Linked DNA regions of Tamandua tetradactyla. The protein of the gene in region 1 purifies or fractionates together with the protein of each later gene. This does not show direct contact. Links are inferred from orthologs where the notes say so. Each region holds a gene or a part of one and is shown in the gene's direction. Other genes may lie near its edges. The genes, in order: DNAAF2 and UBE3D.

The links.
Region 2: the proteins of DNAAF2 (region 1) and UBE3D purify together in Homo sapiens (affinity purification with mass spectrometry; 4 studies listed by BioGRID and IntAct, counting the BioPlex papers as one, with this or other methods). This does not show direct contact. The link is inferred for Tamandua tetradactyla from reciprocal best matches to the Homo sapiens genes DNAAF2 and UBE3D.

Annotation. Positions count from the first base shown.
Region 1 is NC_135340.1:3,069,901-3,081,898, forward strand, and holds the start of DNAAF2 (protein kintoun), read left to right. Parts: upstream 1-5,782; 5' UTR 5,783-5,893; coding exon 5,894-7,687; intron 7,688-11,469; coding exon 11,470-11,613; intron 11,614-11,998. UniProt on the Homo sapiens protein: Required for cytoplasmic pre-assembly of axonemal dyneins, thereby playing a central role in motility in cilia and flagella.
Region 2 is NC_135331.1:139,840,228-139,852,502, reverse strand, and holds the start of UBE3D (E3 ubiquitin-protein ligase E3D), read left to right. Parts: upstream 1-6,475; 5' UTR 6,476-6,563; coding exon 6,564-6,637; intron 6,638-12,275. UniProt on the Homo sapiens protein: E3 ubiquitin-protein ligase which accepts ubiquitin from specific E2 ubiquitin-conjugating enzymes, and transfers it to substrates, generally promoting their degradation by the proteasome.

The DNA of each region.
Region 1 (11,998 bases):
GGAATACTAATAAAAAAATGAAAATGACATAGTGAAGGGGAAGAGCCTCAGTGAAATTTAAATTGAATGCAGTGTTAAGTACTTAGCATTAAGGAAAAAATGGTGATTTGAGATGCAGTCTGAGGATTGAATAGTTGGGGAGAATGTTAGAAGGGGCCTGACACTAGAAGAGTAGGGTTTAGCTTTAGTTTCAAAAATAGCCTGGAAAAATTGAAGTTTAATTATAAAAATCAAAGGATATGGACTTCCAGGAAGGGAGACCCCAGAGAATAGTGCCCCATGTGAGGATATGGCCAAATGTGGAACCAGTCACCTATTTCAGAGAAAGCCAGGACTGAACCTGGAGTTAGCCAGGATATCTGATGGGCATGATTCAAGGCTACTGCATAGAAAGCCAACGAGAGTGTTGCAGAATCTGTATAACGAGAACCACTGCCAGTCGGGACCGAGAGGGACAGAGAAGGGGCGCACTGGAGGAAAAATAACTTCAGAGGCAGAACTATGAAGGCTAAAGTCTGAAGTCAAGAGGCCTCGGGCCAGGAGAGCAGACCGTGGAGATGTGACTCAATCAAGAGTGGTTGTTAAACTGGATTAGGTGGAGATGTGTCTGCACCCATTCCAGGTGGGTCTTGATTAGTTTCCTGGAATCCTATAAAAGGGGAAATATGTTGGAGAAAAGGAGATTCAGAGAGAGCAGAGAATGACAGTCATGAGAAAGCCACACCAGAGAACGCCGCAGAACCACGAAGCAGAGCGTCTATCGGTCAGCGACTTTTGGAGATGAAGAAGGAAAATGCCTCCCAGGGAGCTGGAGAGGAACCTAGCAGATGCTGCTGTGTTCCCCACATGCCCGACCAGCGAGAGAAAAACTCTGTGTTCGCCATGTGCCCTTCCACTTGAGAGAGAAACCCTGAACTTCACTGGCTTTCTTGAATCAAGATAGCTTCTTTCCCTGGATGCCTTAGATTGGACATTTCTATAGACTTGCTTTAATTGGGACATTTCCACAGCCTAAAAACTGTGAACTTGCAACTTATTAAATTCCTTTTTAAAAGCCAAAAAAAAAAACAAACAAACAAGGGATAGGTTTAAAGCCACTAGAATGCTTGGGAAAAATGACAATTTGGGTCTTGAAAATATAGTGAAGTGTTGGTCTTACGTTAATTATGAGAACTACAGAGCTAAATATGAAGATGGGTAGAAAGGTTTAAGTGGAATTTGGATGCTAGGTGTTCATCCACTCTTCCATTTAACAAATAACTGCTTTTATAATTAAAGCTAAATGCATTCTGAAATCATTTCAGGAACATAGTTAATGATTAGACTACAGGGTGCATTTAGGGCTGACAATATGAAATGAAATGAAGCAAGGCAGTATGTATGAGCAGTTCTGGCCATCAGTATTATAAGACACTTGTATACCAAAAACTACAAAACACTGTTGAAATTAAAGAAGACCTAAATAAAGGTCTTCCAATTAAGCTGGAAAACTTGATATTGTTACGATGTCAATACTACCCAAAATTATTCACAGATTCAACGCAATCCTGATAAAAATTCCATCAGCCACAGGGCAAATGCAGAATCAAGACAAGGCTGTGTAAAATCGGCAGGAGCTCGGGGCGCCCAGGCTGGCCCAGTCCCCATCCTGTACCAGCTGTCTGGAGCCAGCCCATCGTATGGGCACACACCCAGCCCACGCACTCCTTCTGGAGGGAGCAGAGTTGCTCATGTGCACATACTGGGAGCATATGCCTGGCCCAATCTGTCTCGTGGTGGACCGAGGCCTGGGAGACTTGATGTCCCAGAAATTGCCTTGTACGTAAAAGACAGTTCACAGAGCTCTCTGAAGGAACACAGTAGGAGAGAAGTCAAGCCGTGCTGCCTGAAGCAAGGAGTCACTGGCTGTAGGACATAACAATACAGTGCCTGGACACATGCGGGATGTTTCCTAGGGAAGAAGGTGTAAAGGGTATAAAATTCCTAGGGCATGTCTAAGATAAGAGGCATATGCAGGAAAGGTCAAGGAGGCCTACAGTTTGGCCTGTAGGAGAAACCCTGAAGGAGAGCATTCACAGGGGTCAATGTGAGGTTTGCCTTCTAGCTGTTCCAAAACCCTGGAGACTAAAAGATCAACATACTCATTTTGTAGGACCGTTTTTGAAAGTCTTTGTCTGGTATGTACCAGGTCTTGTTCTTGTCGTTGATAGTTTCTAGTGCTAGTGAAAATTTAGTTTCAAAGATTAGGAAAGGTGTTTTCTTTTCCTTCCTTTTTATTTTGATTAGTTCCTGGCATTCAACAAAAGTTCTGTCATAACAGTAGCTTGGTACAAGGATAAAGAACAGATGCCTTAGAGCCTAAATTCCAGTGATGATACATTAAAATATCAAAATGTCCAGTTTTCAACAAAAGATTACAAAGCACGCAAAGGAACAGGAAGCAATGGCCCAGGCAGTGCAGAAAATTAAAGCACTGGAAGCTATCAATGACAAGAACAAGACCTGGTACATACCAGACAAAGACTTTAAAAAAACGGTCCTACAAAATGAGTATACTGATCTTTTAGTCTCCAGGGTTTTGGAACAGCTAGAAGGCAAACCTCACGCTGTGGAACAGAAAGCCATACCAAACCCTGAGATCTTTTCCATAACTTGTTACGTGTACTTTGAAAAAAATTTTTTTATATGTATGTCACAATAAATAATGTTTTAGAAAATGGTCCTACATACTCTCAAAGAGCTAAGGGAAAGTATGAACAAAGAACTTAGGGAAATCAGGAAAATGACAGATGAACACAAACAAGAGCAAATGAGATGGAAATTATCAGTAGGAACCTAACAGAGCTGAAGACGGCAGTAATAGGAAAGAAAAGTCTCAGGAAGGGTTCAAAAGCAGACGGGCTGGCAGAAGAAAGAATTAGAACTTGACGGTGACAGCTGAAATCACTCAGTGTGAGGCAGAGAGCGAATATGAGGAGCCAGAAGGAAACCAGAAGCCAGGTGTGCTAACACACGCACTGCCTGGCAGAAGGGAAATCGCCAACACGACTTAGAGTGAACTTTGCTTTGCCTATCATATAATAGAATCAAATGAAATGTATTATTTTGCACTTGGTTGAATAAATTGGTTTTTATTCAATTTATGTTAGCAATATTAACTCACATTGTTGCTGTATGACAGTGTGTTACATACATTTACAACATTTATTTATCCATTCTACTACTATTGGGAATTTGGGTAGCATTTTGGGTTTTGCTAAAGCTGCTGGAGTGCAATATACCAGAAATGGGCTGGCTTTTTCAATGGGGATTTGTTAGGTTACAAGTTTACAGTTCTAAGGCCATGGAGATGTTTAAGGCATTGGCAATGGTCTGAGAATTGAGCCCTTGGGCTGCGTGTGCCTGTTGCTATATTCAGCTCAAAACTAAGCCACCCCAAGTTCAAAGTTATCTTGATAACTAAAGCTGGATCTTACAGGTATGGGCCCGCCTGACATGCACAGTAGCTTAGACTTTAACCTACAAGTCACAGTACCTCATTATAATACTAAAACCATCATATCAATTATCATATTATGGCTGTCATTTTTCTTACATACGTTCTGTGACTAAGCATGTAGCCAATCTGCGCATGCTCGATTAAAGCACCTCTAATTACATCATCTAGGGCCACTGTGCTCACTGCCCTAAGACCTGCCCATCTTTTGGAAATATAAAGCCATCCGCAGCTCCCAGAGACAGATTTTTGGACTGAGAGGCCACGTGATCTGCTTCGCACCTAGCAATAAGCTCCGTCTTGGGAAACCCCTGTGTCTCAGGGATTGGTCACTGAGCACATCTGTCAGGGAATCCACCACCCTTGTCTGGTAACAAAAGAGAAAAATGTGCTTCAGTCAACTGTTCTGAATGTTGCCAAGAGACCCTTACGATGAGGCCTAGACTGAGCCCCCAATCTTGGGGTTTGTTCATATGAAACTTAACCCCACAAAGGATAGGTCAAGGCTACTTAAAATTAGGCCTAAGAGTCACAGAGAACCTCTTCTGTTGCTCAGATGTGGCCTCTCTCTCCAGCCAACACAACAGGCAAACTCACCACCCTCCCCCTGTCTACTTGGGACATGACTACCAGGGGTGTGGACCTTCCTGGCAACATGGGACAGAAATCCTAGAATGAGCTGAGACTCAGCATCAAGGGATTGAGAAAACCTTCTCAACCAAAAGGGGGAAGAGCAAAATCAGACAAAATAAAGTGTCAATGGCTGAGAGATTCCAAACACTGTTGAGAGGTTATCCTGGAGGTTACTCTTATGCATTAAATAGATATCATCTTGTTAGTCAAGATGTAATGGAGAGGCTGGAGGGAAAAATGCAGAGCTATGTTTCAGTGGCCATGCTTCTTGAAGATGATTGACTAATGATATAGCTTTCACAATGTGTCTGTGTGATTGTGAAAACCTTGTGTCTGATGTTCCTTTTATCTACCTTATCAACAGGCGAGTAAAACATACAGCATAAAAATACATAATGGGGGAACAAACGTTAAAATAAGGTTAGATTGAAATGCTAGCAATCAATGAAAGGGAGGGGTAAGGTGCATGGTATGCATGAATTTTTTTCTGTTGTCTTTTTCTTTTTCTGAATTGATGCAAATGTTCTAAGAAATGATCATGATGATGAATATGCAACTATGTGATGATATTGTGAATTACTGATTATGTATGTAGAATGGAATGATCATATGTTAAGAATGTTTGTTTCTTTGTTTTCATATTTTAAAAAAATTTTTTTTTAATTAAAAAAAAAAAAAGATGAGGCCTAGAGGTCTGGGAAAGGAGAACAATCAAGGGTTCTGTTTTGGGATATTTTAAGCCCCAAAGTGGCCTTTGGAGGGTCTGATGCCATGGAGAGAAATCTGTAACGTGTCTTGTCACGGAGCTAACACCAACTTCTACTGTATTAAATGCCACTTAAAGAAATGAAAGTAAAAAAAAGACCCGGAGTTTAACAACTACCAATCAATAAATAACTCAGTCAGTAAATTTCTGACACCACTTTGAATGGCTATTTAGAATTCCACTACATGCTCTGCCAAAATTGGCTCAACAAAGCCAGTGTTGTACTGTCTTCTTCACCAGCCTTTAGAACAAACGGCGTTGCTGTAAACACGCACTAGGTCTTTGCATTTCAACTCAATTATTCCCTTACACCTGGAACTGCCGGGTCAAAAAGTATGCAGTTTGATACAAACTGTTCAACTACTCTCTAGAAATTTTATTAAATATTGAGCCCACTCAGGGAAGCACTATATTCTGAATACATATTTTTGCCATTTTGGTAGGTGATATGTGTTATCTTATTTGCATTTTTATCACTAACGAAGTGATAGCTTTGTATGTTTATAGGTCTTTAGTATGTGTTTAGGAATAGCGTGTTCATATTTCTCACCCCAGATGAGTTCTTTTACAGGGCAAATGGAAAGGAGAAAATAAAGAAGAAAACGTTGCCTTGGCAAAGTAGAACACAATGGATCGAGTTGCAGCCTGTGAATACGCTGCGTGACGCCAGGTCCCAGCTCCTTCTCCACGCTATGGGTCCCACCTGCAGGGTTACAAGCACCGCCTGGGAACCCATATCGCGCTGGGCACGACGGCCGTGAACGTAACGGCTCCTCCGCACGAGCAACCGCACCGTGGCCCACTGGCTGCCGGGCCTCGCGCCCTCCTCCCGGGGTGGGGGTGGGGGTGGGGTGGGGGTTGCGGCGTCACCATAGCAACGGGCTCGCGCGGCCCAGGGCTCGAGTCTCCGGCCGTTAGGGACCGCGGCCGCCCCACACTCCGTGCCCGGGACCCCGATTCGCCCTGCTCGGCCAGAGGGTGAGGGGCTGCGGGGCAGCATGGCCAAGGCGCGGGCGCCCTCGCCGCTGGAGGACCTGGACCTGAGCGCGGACGAAGTGCAGCGGCTCACCTCCGCCTTCCAGGACGCGGAGTTCCGGCGGCTGTTCTCCGAGTACGCCGCGGAGCTCACCGACCCCGAGAACCGGCGGCGCTACGAGGCGGAGGTCACGGCGCTGGAGCGGGAGCGCGGGGTGGAGGTGCGCTTCGTGCACCCCGAGCCGGACCACGCGCTGCGCACCAGCCTGGACGGGGTGCGCCGCTGTTTCGTCAACGTGTGCGGCAACGCGCTGGTGGGCGCACCCCGCAGCCAGCCCGGGCCCGAGGGCGCAGCGCCCGGCCGCCTCTGGTCGCTGCCGCACAGCCTGGCGCCGGGCCGCGAGTACGCGGGGCGCCGCGGCGGCCGCTACACCGTCTACGATGTAGTCTTCCACCCCGCCGCCCTGGCGCTGGCCCGGCGCTGCACGCGCTTCCGCCAGATGCTGGACGCCACGGCGCTGGGCGCGGTGGAGAAGCAGTTCGGCGTGACGCTGGACCGCACGAACGCCAAGGTGCTGAAGGCCAAGTACAAGGGGAGCCCGGAGGCCGCCGTGCTCCGCACGCCCCTGCCCGGGGGCGCCCCGACCCGGCCCGACCGAGAGCCCGAGGGCCTTCTCCCGGACTTCCCCTACCCGTACCCGGCTCCGGCGGCCCCGGGCAGCGCCGCAGCCCCCCGGCCCCAAACGCGCCCCGCCCCGGAGGAGGCCCCGCGGCCCGGCCCCACCGAGCCCCGCTGCAGCGTGGTGCAGCGGCACCACGTGGACCTTCAGGATTACCGCTGCTCCCGCGACTCGGCCCCGAGCCCGGTGCCCCGCGAGCTGGTGGTCACCATCGAGCTGCCGCTGCTGCGCTCGGCCGAGCAGGCGGCGCTGGAGGTGGCGGGGAAGCTGCTGAGCCTCGACTCGCGGAGGCCCGACTACCGGCTGCGGCTCCCGCTCCCCTACGCGGTGGATGAGAGCCGCGGCACAGCGCGCTTCCACACGGCCCGGCGGCAGCTGGTCGTCACGCTGCCCGTGGTGCGTCCGCCCGCGCGCTGGGGGCCGGCGGCGGCCCGGGAGGAGGCGGCGTGCGCGCCCGGAACTGACGGCACGGCCTGCGCTTCCGCCGGCGCCGGGGAGGCGGGCCCTGCCAAGGGGTGCGCGGGCCGCGCGGGCACAGGTGCTGGCGAGGCGGCGGCTGCAGGCGCCGCGGAGGAGCAGGATTCCGGCGGGCGCGCGGGGTCGGCCCTGGGCGCGGGGGAGGAGCCGCCTCCCGCCGCGGGCGGCGCTGGTGGGGGCGGCCGCGGGGACTCCTCGCGTCCTTCACGTGCGGGGGTTGGCCCGGGGTCTTCCGCCGCCACCGCCGGTGAGCGCGGGGCTGTGCGCGCGGAGGCGCGCGTGGACCCGGAGGGAACCGGCAGGGAGCCGTCGGCCGGGGCCACGGCGAGCCCGGGGACGCAGCGCGGGGCGCCTCTGCGCCCCCCTCTGCAGTGCCGCCAGGACGAAGGCTCTCTGACTCTCCTCATCCCGGTGCCTGGGATCCAGGCGGACAGTCTGCGGGGGGAAGTGAGCCCCCGGCGGTACAGGCTGGGCTTCTCCACGCAGGCCGGAGCTGACTATTCTTTCTTTTTGCAATTTGCTCCGGAGAATAAACTGAGCGTCAGGGAACCCGTGATTAGCATCTCTTCAAACAATGCAGTGATCGAACTGTCCAAATCTCCAGAAAGCCCTGGGATTTGGAGAGAGTGGTATTACGGTCTAAACAAGGATTCTCTGGAGGTAACGTTTCTTGCTAGAGCTTTCTACTTGTGAAATGTTCCGTCCCTTTTGCGAAGTTGATTACAGACACCCTCTCCATTTATGCTAAACAAAGTGCTTTCCGTTAGCGTGTCTCTTGTAATGGCTTGAAATTGATAGTGGATTGGAACTGATGAAAGATGCCCGTGCGCTTAAAACGCTCTCTCTGTATTTTGAAGAAAAGAAGCGTCCACGCTTCTCCTCTGGTGAATGGGTTTCAAATCTTCGAAGTTGCCCGTAATGCAAGAGTAGTAAGAAGGACACGAATGGGTTCCCAGGAATCGGAGAATTTCTGAAATTAAATGTAAAAAAAAAAAATCAGGGTGCTTTTTGGGGGGGAGAGGGGCTTTAACTTTCATCATGTTCTCAAAAGCGTTTGTGACCCAAATAAATTTGAGAACCACTCCCTAATGGCCATATTTTAAGTTGGCAAATCGCTTTTTTTAATCTTAAAAAAGTAAATTTACTTCCAAAGACCAAGTCATTTGCGCACAGTTCTTACTGGGAATATGAATTTGGAGGCAGTTGTGGCTCACATATCCTGCCTTACCCGCCCTACGGTGCTGCGCGACTTTGTCCCAGAGGCAGGCGGGGCTGTCGTCTGGTGGTGACGGTAGGGCGCTGAAATGACCACTGCCCAGTTGGGACCACCTCCGGGCCCCTGGTATGTAGCACAACGCCTGGCGCTTAGCCAAGTGTCAGTGAACGTATGTTGAGCTAAGCAGCACGTGTATCAGCCGCAGCTCCCCTGGCCAGCGCTGGAAAACTGGATGCGGCCCAGTTAACTTGGATATAATTCTGAGGAATAATTCAACATGTGCTTTTGTAGTCCTGCTATGCTTGTTAAGATTATTGAGGTTCCTGCATTTCAGAATCACCACTCCACCATGTTATTGGCAAATGACTGAAAATCACTTAAAATTTGAAGTTCTAAAGAATTCTTTGAATTCATAAATTTGTGATTTTGATAGTGGTATGTATCAACCTTACATGTAACTTTTTTAGTTCTTTTAACATATTCAAGTGTCAAATTCCCAGAAGCAGTACTAGTTACGCAGATTATATATTAAAAATTAAGTAGTTGACCTTGGTCTTTTTAGCCTGTCAGAAATTTTCACTATTTGTTTTTCTAGATGTTTGCCAGTAAGTTATATATAGATTTTACAAATTGACTGTCTTTGGTGAGAAGTGGTTAATTTGAAATCCCCCAAAACAATAAAAATAGTCAACATTAGGTAAGGTATTTTGTGTGAATATGATGAGATTGCATATCTGTTTATGTCATTAGAAGGGGGAAATTTATTAAACGGCAGTCATCTTCCTGTAATTGTTTTAATAGTTGTGAAAATAATTCACAGTGTTTGTGGGAAGAAAACTTTATGGGCAAGCGGTGAAGAGAATTCTGAACGATGTATTTTCATCTGATTTCCCACTGTGCTAACTCCTAAGCTGGGCTGCTCACTGGGATCATGGTATATTCCCACTGAAGAATTATTTTGAGGTCTTAAATCATATAAAGGCATAGTATCTATAATGTTGGGTAAAAATATAGTCTAGAATGCGTAATATGGGTACACTTTAGAAATTGTAAATCGAATGAAAAGTGTCAAGTGTGATATTTTCAATTCAATTTGATGAAAGTGAAATTTGGTTCTTTTCTTAGAAACAATAATAATAACCAGCCTTTATTCCTAATAGAGATTTCATATCTGTATGAGAGAAAAGATACACAGCTTCCATTTTCAGTTTTACATAATGTAAATATGGCCTATGTTCTAGTTTGCTAGCTGCAGGAATGCAACACACCAGAGACGGATTGGCTTTTAATAAAAGGGGATTTATTTCATTAGTTCTTCAGAGGAAAGGCAGCTAACTTTCAACTGAGGCTCTTCCTTACGTGGGAAGGCACAGGGTGATCTCTGCTGGCCTTCTCTCCAGACCTCTGGGTTCCAACAACTTTCCCCGGGGTGATTCCTTTCTGCATCTCCAAAGGCCTGGGCTGAGCTGTGATTGCTGAGATGAGGTGTGCTGAGCTGCTTGGGCTGTGCTGTGTTGAGTCTCTCATTTAAGCACCAGCCAATTAAATCAAACATCATTCATTGCGGCAGGCACGCCTCCTAGCTGACTGCAGGTGTAATCAGCAACAGATGAGGGTCACATGCCATTGGCTTATGTCCACAGCAGCAGAACTAGGTACCTTCACCTGGCCAAGTTGACAACTGAATCTAACTACAACAGCCTAACTTCTACTTCATCTTATAATGTTATTTTTTAGTTATGCCATGAGTGTGGGATCAGTTGATTTAGGATTCAAAGTTTCAAGGCACTGAGCTCAGTGATGCAGAGAATGTTAGAACTGGTTAGACTCCTTGAAGTTATCCTAGTCCAGTTGGCTCATTTTGTAGATTAAGGAGGCTGACACGCAGAATTGCCCAATATTCTACGGTGAAGTGATTCTTGAGCTTTTTTGGGGTTTATGACCCAAAATTTGAAAATTTTATGAAAGCTATAGAATGACACTCTATCCACATAAGTGCCCTATACACCCAACATTTTTCATGTAATTTTTAGTGGCTAATTGGACAGACACCCTGCTTTAGAAGTTGTAGGGCTAGTTCCCTTAAGGAAGGGAATACACTAAGTAATATAAAGAACAATTTAGGAGCAGTTCTTTACCCCCAATATAAGCAATTTTGAAAAAACACAGATGATTCTCTGACACAATAAAGAACCAAAATGATTTAAATATTTAACAGTGGGAATTTTGCTAATTTAACATTAGCTATTCAAAGGATAAATGAAAAACACTATGCAGTTCGGTTGCCTTGGGATGTCTTATCACAAAACTTAATAAAGTATATTCATTAGCTGCTTAATGATGAAATAGCAGATGTATTAAATTCTCATAGAAGGGAGCTTGAAACTTGTATCTGATTTTTCTTTCATTTTTGGACCAAATAATGAGCTGTGTGTATTTTGGAGGTGAAAGTACTTTTATTATGGGCAACAACGGACTGGTTTTATGAATTAAGTAATTCTAAATATGGTTATTCCTCCCATATCTATATTCATCTGACATGAATATGAACAAACTGCTTTGTGTTTGGGATCCTGTTGAGTGATTTTTACATTTCCTAATAGCAGTATATAAATCTTTCCGTGTCAGTGCTGTGAGGCCTTCCTCACCCTTATTAGCTCTATACTAGTAGCACACTAGAGAATCTCAGTACTTAAAGACAGAATATATTTCTTTTAAATAAAAGATTAAACTTGGCTCTTAGCCAATTAAGACTTGAAAAGTAAACTGGTCACCCCAAATTTGAATAGATTCTGGCATGTATATTTCTTAGCTGACTCATTAGGAAGTGTTCTAAAACTGAATTACATTTTATAACTGGAACTGCATTTACAGCTTTAAGGTAATGTTACTCTTATGAAATATTAAGAGGAAAGAAAAATATCTGTAAGTATTATCTAAGAGAGAAAACATACTTTAGATTTAACAGAGAGCTAGAAAAGAAATGAAGGCTTTTTCTTCTAGGTTTTCCCTATGTATATATGTTTGTCGTCTTGCTGTTCTTACCATTCTCTAAAATAATTCAGTTTTCTTTTGTCGAGACAGTGTGGGAATAACATTAACATAAACGTTTTTAAAGTGTTACAGTGAACTGTGTGAGACTTAGGTTGTCTTTCTGTAGCTTCTTTTAGGTACAACTGTGTTAAATATGACCTGTAAGACAGAATGTTTTTTCTTTTTATTTTAGGAAAAGTTGTTTGTCAATGAAGAAAATGTGAATGAATTTGTAGATGAGGTCCTGAGCCCTCCATTCAGACAGACAAGCCCTCTAACCCCACCATTAATTGAAGTTCTTCAGGTTACTGATAATAAGATTCAGATCCACGCAAAGGTAAGGGTTTTGGTGGGGTTTATAGCAGGATGACTATTTGACCTATTTTGACAGGTCAAAGCCTGACAAATAACGTAATTCTTGATTTCCTGATATCATAACTTTAAACAAAATGAACATAATGATATGGAAACAACAGCATTGTTCATTGAGGAGGAGGAGGGCCTGTGCGTGTCTACTATATGTGAAACACTCTGCTGTTCATTTTCACTTATTTAATTCTGAAATAATCCTGCAGTGAAGAACAGAGACACTAACATTTGGTAAGTTCAAGTACTAGTACAAGGACAAATTTCCTTCACACCATGGGAAATATGCTATATAGTTTATTCTTTCTAGTTGAAGCTTAAGCTTGGTCATTTTTATATTCAGTATTGGATACATG
Region 2 (12,275 bases), on another chromosome or scaffold:
TCTTTTACTTCATTATTGTCAACAGCACCATCATCTTTCTGATCATACAGGCTTATGCTTTGGCTTTATATCTTATTCTCATATTCAATCTATCAATAAGTTCTTTTTTCCACTCCTACCAGAATGGTCCTTTATCCATGGCTTCTGAATATTTTATATCTGAAAGAGCCTCCTATTTTTCACTACCTTCAGCTTTGCAAGAGCCACTTAATTTCACATGGTAAAAAAATAATTTGAGCATGTAACTCCCTGCTGGAAGCTCAGAAAAGTAAATTTGATAATCCATGAAAAAGATTTTAACCCATGGTTTACTTAACACATAAGAAGCATTCTTATCATTGCTATAATTTTAATATTCAGTTCCTTATAAATGAAATTCAAACTCTTAACCATATGATTAGTCTTAAAGTGGATCCATTCATTCTATCTTATTCACATTTCTGTTCCAGCTAACCAAAACTTAGTCACAGTCAACTGTTCAAGATTTGCTCCCTCCCATCTCAGTGCCTTTATAAATACTATTCCTTCTCTGGCGAAGCCCCTTCTCCTTTCTATTATCTGAAATTCTTCTATCAAAATTAAACTCAAAATGAGTTTTAATTCCATGAAATATTCTCTGATTCAACCCCTCTGACTAGGCTCATTCTTTAATCAGTATAACCCACCTGACTTGACTCATTCTTTAATCAGTACATTTATCAATATTCAGAAACATGGCTTATATTACAGTATAGTTCATATTTCTAAACATATGAAGTAATTTCTTAGACCCAACCATTTACTTCCTTTGCCTAAAACACAAAATCCCAATTTGACTTAGCTAGTACCAATTCATTCTTCAGGTCTCAGATTTTTAACCCCTTTGGGAAGACTCACTTGTCTCCTCTATCATCCCCCAAACTCATATTCACACCTCCTTCCTGGGGACTTTCTACTATGCACTGCACAATTAAATGCAACTTAAAAGCATAAGACTATTTATCTGTATTACTCAAAGGACTAAAACTGCTGTGCTTTTAAAGTTTTTCTTACTACAGTCAGTTGTCACTTCTATATAATGACAATTTATCTGATGTGCTTCTATACTACTGCTTTATTTTATAGTGAAGATACAATCTGATGTCTGATGTGTCAATTTCTTTATACCAAGAAGAAAGCCTCAGTTTGATGCCAGAATGTTATCAAAACGTGGATAATTCTTTGTAATACCTTTTAAAAAAAAAAGAGTAACAAGTTCTAGGCTTAGAGTCTTTAGCAGGCAATAATGAAGACCATTTGTTTTCATTATTTTATTTTTATGCCAACCTTTTATTTATGAAAAGTGATAACTGCTTTTTATTTATAGTGGTTATTTCACGTTTCTCTTAAAAATACTTTAAAGAAAACAGTCACATTGATTTAAGGAAATATTTAGAAAATAAGTATGCAGACATGGTCAAATTTTGAAGAGGATATAAGAATGACAGAAATTTGAGAAATATTGCACTAATTCATGTGGTCAACAAATAAATACGAATGCCTACTATGCGCATGCCAGTGGTTTAGGCATTGTGTAAGACAGAGAAGGATGTTCAAAAAATGTTACTGGGATAATCAAAAGAAAAGGAAATTACTTCAGAATGAGGTCATCTAGAAGGGATTCACAGACAGTGGCATTTGAGACAGCATTTGAAAGACAGGTATAATTCAGACAGAGACAGGGAGAGCATTCTAAAAAAGCAAAAGCATAACAATATATGCCTGAGTAATGAACATGTTCCATATCTTTTTTTTTTTTTTACATGGGCAGGCACCGGGAATCGAACCCAGGTCCTCTGGCATGGCAGGCAAGCATTCCTGCCTGCTAAGCCACCGTGGCCCGCCCTACATACCTTAACTGAGGTGGTGGCTACATGAATGTGTATATATGTGTTAAAATTCACTGAAAAGTAACTTAAAGTAGGTGCACATTATTGCATATAACTTTTACCTTAATAAGTTGATACAATATCTGACTTAAGCAAGAATAGATCAAAGATCATTGAGGTTTCAGGCCTGGATAGCTTGGTGGGGGTGGTGGTAGCTGCAGAATGAGTACAATAAAGAGAAAAAGGGAAACATAAGTATTTATTTTCATGTAATGAATTTTCATTACAAACTGTTAACTATAACAGAAAAAATACTAGTTCTATACTTGTACTAAACAGTTTTATTTCAGGGAGAGAACCTACCTGAATTAAGGCTTATTTATTTAAATGAAATGTTCTGTTTCTCCCTATCTCCCCACAACTGCATTAATAGCATTCATATCTAACAAAGTAACAAGAGCTCATTAATAACACTCACCATTAAGAAAGCAATAAAGAATAGACAGAAGCATCAACACTGGTTGTATGAAAGTGACACATCACCAAATTTAGCAAAACAAATGCATGACTACTAGATCATATTCAATACTTGGATTTGTTTGTAATCAATGAAGAAATAACTATTTCAGAATTTATATTTTACCTTGACCATTTCCATTATCTAAGCTGTTAAAAAATTTGGTTCTTAAGTACATATCAGGTGGTTTCTGTCACATTTCATACTTGTAAGAATTCATGACTAGAAGGGCAAACCATTCATAGTAAAATAATACCATTATCAACAACTTTCTACTTATTGGAACCTTAAAATGCCATCCTGAATAAAATCAGTAACTTGACCGTAAAATCAGTAACTTGACTGTAAAATCAAGTTCAAACATGAATAAAAAGAAAACATGTTAAAGAAAAGCACTGGGACACCAAAAAAGAAGATACTCTTCTGTCATAAAGCATAAAGACCTATGAACATCCTTAGTATTAATATTTAGTAAGAAAAATATAAACCCTTGGCTTATTCCAGTGAGGATTATCACTCTATCACCATGCTCCAGAAAGCTTAAACTGAAAACTAAAATCAATAACTTTTTGTATTTAATACACAATGCATGGAAAAACAAAACAATAATAAACAGAATTCATGGGATTTTAGAGCTGAAAGGGGACTCAAGTATAGCAATTTTCAACTTGATGAAATTTTCAAATTTCAAGTTAATTTCTACATAATTACCTTCTAGGGGACAGTAACAGGCTGCCCATGAGAAATAGGCTCTCTTTGGCCAGGAAATGCTGTGATAACCTTCTCCTGGAAATTTACATTGCATATAAGCATAGTAAAGGCTCTGAGGAGTAGGACAGTTAAAAGAAAATCAAAAGTTAAGCTTGGTTTAACCCAGTGTGCTTCCACATTATTTGCCATGGAACACTGTTTGGGGGCAGTAAATCTATTAATAGCTTGAGAACAACATTCAGGGGAATATAGGTTAGAAAACTTTGATCTTGTCAAACTTCCTTAAAGAGACAAACTGAGGCCTAGAGAGACCACACCTGATTAACTGCAGAACAACGAACCTGACCCTAAGTCTCATTCCCAGCCCAAAGTTCTTTCCACTATTATAACTACAAAATAGGACTCCTTTGATTGTTCAATGACAACATTTAATTTCCATTTAACATATTGGTTATGGTGTCAGATGTTTTGTGTGATCTATCTACCAGACTTAGGTCTCTCAAAATCACGTCCATCTGGAGATTTGCTTATTGTTTAGTAATTCTGGGGAATGATTTAGAGTGGTTGCTGAAAGTAATAAATTAAAGCATTTGTACTGCATGTGGTTTAATTAACTCATGTTATAACTTTCGTGAGTGCAACTAAATCACTGTTCAATGACTTTACTTGGCACAAAATGTTGACATGTTATCCACAGACTGACCTCAAAAGTAAGCCACATTAATATCTATATATAAAATTAAAATACAAGAGCTTATATTTGCATAGAAGATAGGCAACAGTATTAAAATTGAGAGATCTGTCTATAGTTCAAGGCTTGTAAGGCAAACATTTAATTTTCTTTATTTTTGTGATGAAAAAAATTGTTTTAACTGCAGTTTCTAAGTCAGATTTTCTCAACCTTTTTATTTCCCAAACTCCATGGAATTCTAAGAGTTAAGAATAATCAAAACACGACTTAGTTTTTAAAAAGTACAGTTGATGGCAACTTTTCTCTTCAGGGTAGGAGAAAAGAATGCGGGAAACCGAACAAATAACTATTGTTATGTTGCAACTTTTAAAAGGTTGGGAATCAAAAGTGATTAACTTCCGTCTGAATAAAATAACTTCCTCTTAATAAACTTCGGCACTCCTTTCTAACCTGCACACGTGAACATCAACCATGGCTGGCATTCCTGTCTCCTCAATACTAAGAAAACCCACCAGATGAATGAGATGACACGATACCCTGATTTCGCCAACAAAGACGCTACTCTGCACGCCTTTACTGTACAGGTGCGACCCACACCCCAACCCCGCATCCTGCCCAGCCCCAGCGCCTGAGGTTTCGGTCAAGCCACGGGACACCTCGGCCACGCCTCCCGCAAACCTTGCCCAGACTGCCCGCGCGCCTCCGCCAGGTGCCACAACGACGGTCCCCCAGCAATTCTCGCCTCCCCGAAACCCAGAGTGCGGCCGGCTTCGCCGCTACAGGCGAAGCTGGGGCCGCGATACCCGCGCCGCCACAAAAGCACAGGCGGCGCATCCCCGCAGCTCCGGAGCGAGCAGGGCTGAGGAGGCCGCCCAGGGCCGCCAACCAGCCTCGCGACCGCTTTGGGGGCGGGGACGCTGTTACCTGCTGTGGGGTCTGCCGTTCCCCGCCGGGGCCGCTCTCCTGGCAACCGCGCCAGCGACACCAGGGCCGAAAGCCGAAGGGCCTGGTGACAGCTCCCAAAGTGCACCGCGCTCACGCCGGCGTCGACGTCGAAGGCTCTACATCCCCACCCCCTGGTCGCTCCTCGCCTCCCAGCTGTGATTGTCTCCACAGTGCCCTCTAGCGGACTCTTGGTGACCAACAGCGGAAGTGATAGGGTTGAGGGGTTTATAGTAGGTGTTCTCAGCCTGCCATCACCAGAGCCGTCTTGATGGAGAGTTTGAAGGGCTACTAGGAAATGAATACGTTTCTTACGAGGAACTTGAGGCCCAGAGGGATTAGGGAACTTATGAAATCAGGAGACAAATAATTATCAGATTTGGAACTATTTTGAGTCTAGAACTCTCTCAATCATATCACGTTACGTCAAGGATATTCCACAGTTTTGCCTAAACTTTAGGGTAAAAAAAATGATGAAAAGGTTTTACGGATACGTGACTATGCATAAAATAGAAAATTATTTAACAATATTCAAAGATCGATTATGAGGAACATGCTGTGCTACAATTGTTATATATTTCAATATAAAATGCCAATTTTTAAGAGCCTAATATCCTTGGAACTTAAATGTGGATGATGTTAGGGGTTGAAATGATCAGTAAATTCAATTGTTTTGAGGTTTATCTCGATCCATGATTTTAAAATACTGTAAAGGATACACAAATCTGTGCAGCAGCAGAATAACTTTAAAACTCCCAAATACTGATTTTAGAAAAACGTTCTCAGGCGAGTATCTTTAGAGAAGTGGATTTATTTACTTATTTGAAAATGGTTCAAATTAATATTTTTGGTATGTGGTAATTACCCTTGGAATAGGAAAGAACAGGAGCAAGCATAGGATTTTTTTGTGTGCTGGCCACGGTTGCTTTTATTTTTTTAAACTAATAGCCTCTAGTTTTAAAAGAAGTCCTATTCTAATTCTACTGTGAACTTATACTTTCATATTTCCCTGTTATACTAGACACTTCGTTGTGTCAAAATTTCCAAAATTATCTTCTAATATAATAATGTAGTATTTATGACTTGAGTCAGTTTTAACTTCTGAAAAAATGGATAGTGGAGAAGCACATATGAGATCACCCCCACCTTTCTCTTTTTCAAGGTTTAAATGATTCAACATACTGGACTTGAACCACAGTCTCTTTTGCATAGATAACAGATAAGCTATTTACCCTGCAAAAAGATTAAAAAAAAAAAAAAAAACCAGAAACGGCTTCAGTTTTGCAGAGATCATTTCTAAGTTGAGAAGAAATGTTAGTCCTTGATATTTGTTGCCTCAGACAGAGGGAAGCTACCGAACGACCCTAGATCATAAACAAGAAATCACGATAAAGCGGGTTTGGCGTGGGGAATTCTGCTGTCGGGCCTCCCGGATTCGGCGTCCTCCTGTATCGCCCACTTCTATCATCCCCTTTTAGTGCCCCATCCCTTATCCTAGCTAGCCAAAGGAGTGTACCCCCAGTCTAATTTTTGTCGTAATTTCCAAGGAGGCTGACGAGGCAGGGCACGTGGGACGAGAAGCGATGCCAGAGGACAGCCTGCTTCTGCGCGTCTACCTTTCTCAGCACACCAGGTCAAAGCCGTGTTTTTAAAACACGCACGCGCGAGTGGTGCAGGGCCCCCACGGCCGCGCGCTCTCCGTCCAGCAGGTGGCGCTGTGGGCCGTGCCGGCCTCGGTCTCTGGCCGGGCTGCTCCTCCTACGCCTGCTTTTGCACCAGCCGCACGTGCGTGGTTCCTGTGCTGCAGGTTTGTCAGAGGCTCCGCCTGGATCCTACCGGGAAGTGGGCGCCCGCCATGGAGGGGGCGGCGAAGACGCGCACGTTCCTCGAGGTGCGGAGAAGACTGCAGAGCGCGCTGCTGATCCTAGGGTAAGCAAGGGGCGGAGCGTGGGCATGCGGGCGCGGCGCCCAGGCAGCTTTTTTTCTGCTACTCGCTGGGGGGTCGTCCTCCTCCCTAGGATTTTGAGTTTCTTCCCATTTGTGAGCCTGTGGTTACTCAAAGTGGAGTAGCTTTTCACAGTGCGGTCCCGGAACTGGCAGCCTCGGGACATCACCAGGGAGCGTTTTTTAGAAGTGTAGAGTCTCAGCCACACACCAGACCTCCAGAATCAGAGTCCTCGTTTCAACAGTATTCTACGGATTGGTATGCGCATTAAAGTTTGAGGAGCAGTTACACAAAATACTCCTGGCAATGACCGACGTTTCCAACAAAACAAGGCAAAAAAATTGCCTTGTCTAACTCTATCCTGGTTATAGGACCAACTTCGATGAGTGAGCTTCCTGTTTTGTAAACACTTCGTCTTTCTAAAAAAATTTTTTCCAAAACCGATTGCAGAGAAGTTCACATAAATGTGTGTTCAGTGAACGACTAACAAAAGTTGCAGTCTTCTTATTGGAACTCATTCTTTTATTCATATTCATAAGAAGTCGTTATTTACTACACAAATAAGAAACTTTTAGGAAAAATATTCTTTGTTTGGAAGCAGTTTTGATAGTAAGTGGTGCCCTCGCCTATTCTTTTGTGACCGCAGTTTTAGAAACAGTAAGTTAGATGGAAAATTCTGAAAATTTCATTTTATTACACAGCGCCACTCAGAGGCAGATGGATCCTTAGCTCTTCCACATATTCTTACCTCTGGCGTGGCAGCTTTGGATTTGGCATGAGAACGTGGTTCAAATCTTAGCTTTCTCACAAGGGTAGAATCATTTACTCTTAATTTCTTAAGTTGTAAAATGGGGATATTTATTTATTACTGTACCGAAAATCATGAGTTCACACAAATTTCTTCAATTCCAGTCTACCTTGTAGCGATGATGGAAACCTCAAAAAAGATAATGTAAAATTTAAGCCGCCATAGAAATGTAGATGGCTTTATATTTCAGATCACTTTAAGTCCTGAGTTTCAGCTACAGAAAAGGAAATTCTGTGTAAATTTGCTGACTTCCAGATCCCTCCCAACCAGGTACTGGAAGCAGTGACTGTGCCCAATATCTACAGGTTAATTGAGGTGTGCCTTAATACTTGCTATAATGGAATGCAATAAATATTATCACTTATTATCCAGCCACCAACATCCTAGACAGTATTACAGAGTACTACACACTTCCTCTTTTTCCATCTCTTTTCCTCCTCTGTAAGTCTGAGTTCACTTGCCCCAAACCATACCCTTCTGAAGCCTAGGGATCCTCTGAGCTGTATGTATTTTCACATACGTTACACACTTTTATTATTAAGAGGTTCTTATTTTTGCAGGTGGTGATTTTTGTTGTTGTTGTGTCAATTTATATACAATAAAACACACAGATTTTAAATATTCAGTTTGATGAGTTTTTTGTAATGCAGAGAGCTATACAAGCACAACCCTAACAAGACAATAACTCTTTCACTTCAAAAAGTTTTCTGGTGTCCCTTTTCAGTGAGTGTAAAAAACCCTGCTAACCATACTGTGATAACTGATAAGACCAGCTGCAGGGTTAATAATAAACGATGCTTCTACCAAGGTGAAACCTCAGCTGTCAAATGTCATAACAACCTCTTCTTTTGACTTGTTACTTACCAGTGAACTCCGAACCATCCTTTTCTTGTTCTCGACTCTGAAACAGTGATTACTGATGACAGTGATTACTTTCCAGAGAGCAGTGAATCCAGTGCTGATCCCAGTTTGTCTTATTCACACTCACATTAATCAGCCTGAGCCGAAATCTTAACAAAAATCACTCCCTACTTCCTCTTATTAGGAACCTTCATGGTTTCGCTGAAATACTTTCCCTTGTTTAAACAAGTTAATAAATTTAACTTTGCTGGACTACTGGTTTGTCTCTGGTGGTCTTTGGCTTTTGGTATTTATTACCAGTCAGTTCCCCCCACACCAGAAGCAACCAGTGTTCTGATTCTGCAAACACAAATTTTGCCTGTCCTTGTACATAAGTGGATTCATGTAGTATGTTGTGTGTGTGTCTGACTTCTTTCCTTCAACGTAATGTATTTGAAATTCATGTTTCCTGTGTGTTGCATTTATCAGTAGTTCATTCTTTTTTCTTACTGAGTAAGAAAAATGTTGTGTGTATATAACACAGTTTATCCATTCTCCTGTTGCTGGATATTTTCACTGTTTCCAGTTTGCTTAATAAACAAAGCTGCCATAAACTTTCTTGTCAAGTCTTTTTGTGGACATACATTTTCATTTCCCAGGTAGATACATAAGAATAGAATTGCCATGCTATAAGACAGATGTGGATTTTACTTTATAAGAAATTGCCAGTTAGTGCTTGAAAGTGGTACACTGAAGAAATGAAAATTCTCATCAGAAAAAAATTAGTTCCACTTAGTTCACATTCTTGCCTACATTTAATTTTGTCAGTCTTTTATTTTAGCCATTCTAGTGGATATAAAATCATATTTTGTGGTTTTAATTTGCATTTTCCTGATGCTTAGTAATGTTGAGTACCTTTTCATTTGTTTTTGGCCTTTTGTATATGTTCTTTTGTAAAGGGTTTGTTCACATTTTTTTTTTGCCATTAAAAAATATTTTTATTGAATTGAAAGAGTTTTATATATAATCTGTAAATAAAATCCTTCTCAGATATATACCTTGTATTTTCTCCAATCTCTAGCTTGCCTTTTAATTTTCTTAATATTGCTTTTGATGAATAGAAAATTTCAGTTTTAGTTAAATGTGCTTTATCTTTTTTTTTTTTAATTTTCTGGTTAGTGTCTTTTTGTGTTCTAAAAAATCTTTGAAGGTTATGATGATTTTTTTTTCCATTTTTTTTCTCACTAGGAGTTATATAGTTTTAACTTTGACATTTAGGATTGTAATCCATATTAAATTAACTTTTATGTTTGAAATGAGGTAGACATCATAAAGTTTTTTTTTATAAGTATACCCAGCTGTTTCATGACCTTTAGTTAAAGAAATTTTTGAAAAATTTAGTGTTTTAATCAGAAATCAGTTGACTACGTGTGGGTCTATTTCTTGATTTTCTTAGTCTGTTCCCTTGATCTTTTGTTTTAAACATTTTTTTATTGTATAGTATAACATATATACAAAGCAAAGAAATAAAAAAGCAATGGTTTTCAAAGCACTCTTCAACAAGTGGTTACAGGACTGATCCCAGAGTTTGTCATGGGCTACCATATGATCCTCTCATTTTTCCTTCTAGCCGCTCCAGAATATAGGAGGCTAGAGGGCTTAAATTTTTTTTTATCATCACAATCGACTTTTTTTTGTGAAAAATAACATATATATATATACAAAAAACTATAAATTTCAAAGTACAGCACCCCAATTAGTTGTGGAACATATTTCAAACTGTGACATGGATTACAATTTCAGAATTTTAGGTTTTTACTTCTAGCTGCTCTAAAATACCAGAGACCAAAAGAGATGTCAATTTAATGATTCAGCATTCATATTTATTTGCTAAATCCTGTCTTCTATGTATAACTCCACCATCACCTTTGATCTTTCCATCCCTCTCTTTAGGGTTGTTTGGGCTAGGCAATTCTAAAGTTTTCATATTGGAAGGGTCTGTCATTAATAGGGGACAGGGAAATGGAACTATCTGATGTTCTGGAGAGGCTGGGCCAGGTTCAGGGACCCATCTGGAGGTTGTAGGTTTCTGGAAACTTACTCTAGTGCCTGGAACACTTAGGAAATCTTATATATTGCCCTAGGTGTTCTTTAGGATTGGCTGGAATGGTCCTAGTTGGGGGTTGGCAGGTTATGATAGGCAGCAAAGTCTAGCTGAAGCTTATGTAAAAGCAACCTCCAGAGTAGCCTCTCAACTCTATTTGAACTCTCTCTGCCACTGATACTTTATTAATTACACTTCTTTTCCCCCTTTTGGTCAGGATGGAATTGTTGGTCCCACAGTGCCAGTTGTTCCTTTGATCTTTTGTCTATCCTTAAGCCAGGATAACGCTGTCTTGATTAATGTAACTTTGAGGAAGGCTTGAAATCAGGTAGTATGAGTATTCTAACTTTGTTCTTTGTTAAGATTATTTTTAACTATTTTAGATCCTTTGCATTTCCATATAGATTTAAGAATCAGCTTGTCAGTGTCTACCAAAAAAAAATGCTTGCTAGAATTTTGACTGGGATGGTATTGATTCTATACAAACATTCTAGAATAATCACCTTGTCAACAACATTGAGTTTTCTAATCCATGAACATGGTAAAACTCTGCATTTATTTAGGTCTTCAGTTTCTCTCTGCAGGTTTTCAGTGTAGAGAAATTGTACATTTTTCATTAGATTGATTTCGAGTATGTGACTTTTTATGCCATTGTAAATGGTTTTCTTTTAATTTCATTTTCCATTTACCCTTTGCTGCTGTTTAGAAACACAGTTAATTTTTGCATATTGACATGTATCCTGCCAACTTGCTAAAGACTTATTATTAATTTTAGTATTTTGTACGTTTTTAAAAATGAGCCCAGTCACATTTTCTATTAAAAAAAAAAAAACATTTTACTTCTTTCCAGTCCACATAACTGTTATTTTTCTTTTCCTTGTTACACTGGGGCTTGGAGTTAAGAGTTCAGTGGAAGTTGTAAGATCATACATGCTGATCTGAGGAAAACACTTTCAGTGTTTCACCATTAAGTCTGATGTTAGCTGTAGGTGTTTTTGTTTTTGTTTTTAGTTGCCTTTTTGATGGTAGAGAAAGTTCTTCATTCCTAATTGTCTGAGAATTTTTATCATAAATAGGTGTTGACTTTGGTCAAAGTTTTTACCGTGCCTGTTGAGACGATGGCATGGTTTTTCTACTTTTTTCTCTTAGTATGGTGTTCCTACCTAGATCCAGTTTATGGAGAGCATGGAGTGGGGGCTGCTTCGAAACTGAAAAACACAGTAGGCACAGAGCACAGACACCCCACATAGGTTTACTGGGGCTTAGGAACAGGAGTTCTCCACTGGCGGCCCTCTGGACATTTAGCCTTCCGTAAGGTACGGGGGAGTACAAGGAGAATATTTATTAGAACCAAATCATTCCATATAGTGTAAGGACTTTTGGTTTCTAGTGTAGTCGTCAAAGGGGCCCATAACCTGATGTTTTACCAAGATTACTGTTTAAAACTAAGGTGCAGTCAATGCCGTTTTACATCCGTGGTTACATTCTTCTCCCTTGTTTACTTTTTGACCTTTGTCCTTGGCCGAAGCAGATTTGTTAAGGGCCATTTAGGAGAGGGCCCAAGCCCTGGACTGCTGCATATGGTGAATTATACTGTTTGATATTTGAATGTTAAATTAATTTTGCTTTTCTGAAATAGACCTCACTTGATCATGGCATGCTATCCTAAATATTTATATGTTTTATATCTTGTTAGAATTTTTGTATCTATATTCATGAGAGATATTGGTCTGTAGTTTTAGTTCTTGTTATATCTTTTATCAGGTTTTAGTTTCAGGGTTCTGTTGTCCTCATGAGACAAAATTGGGATGTGTTTCCTTCTATATTATTTTTTTCCTAGATATTTGATAGAATTTACAAGAGAAACCAT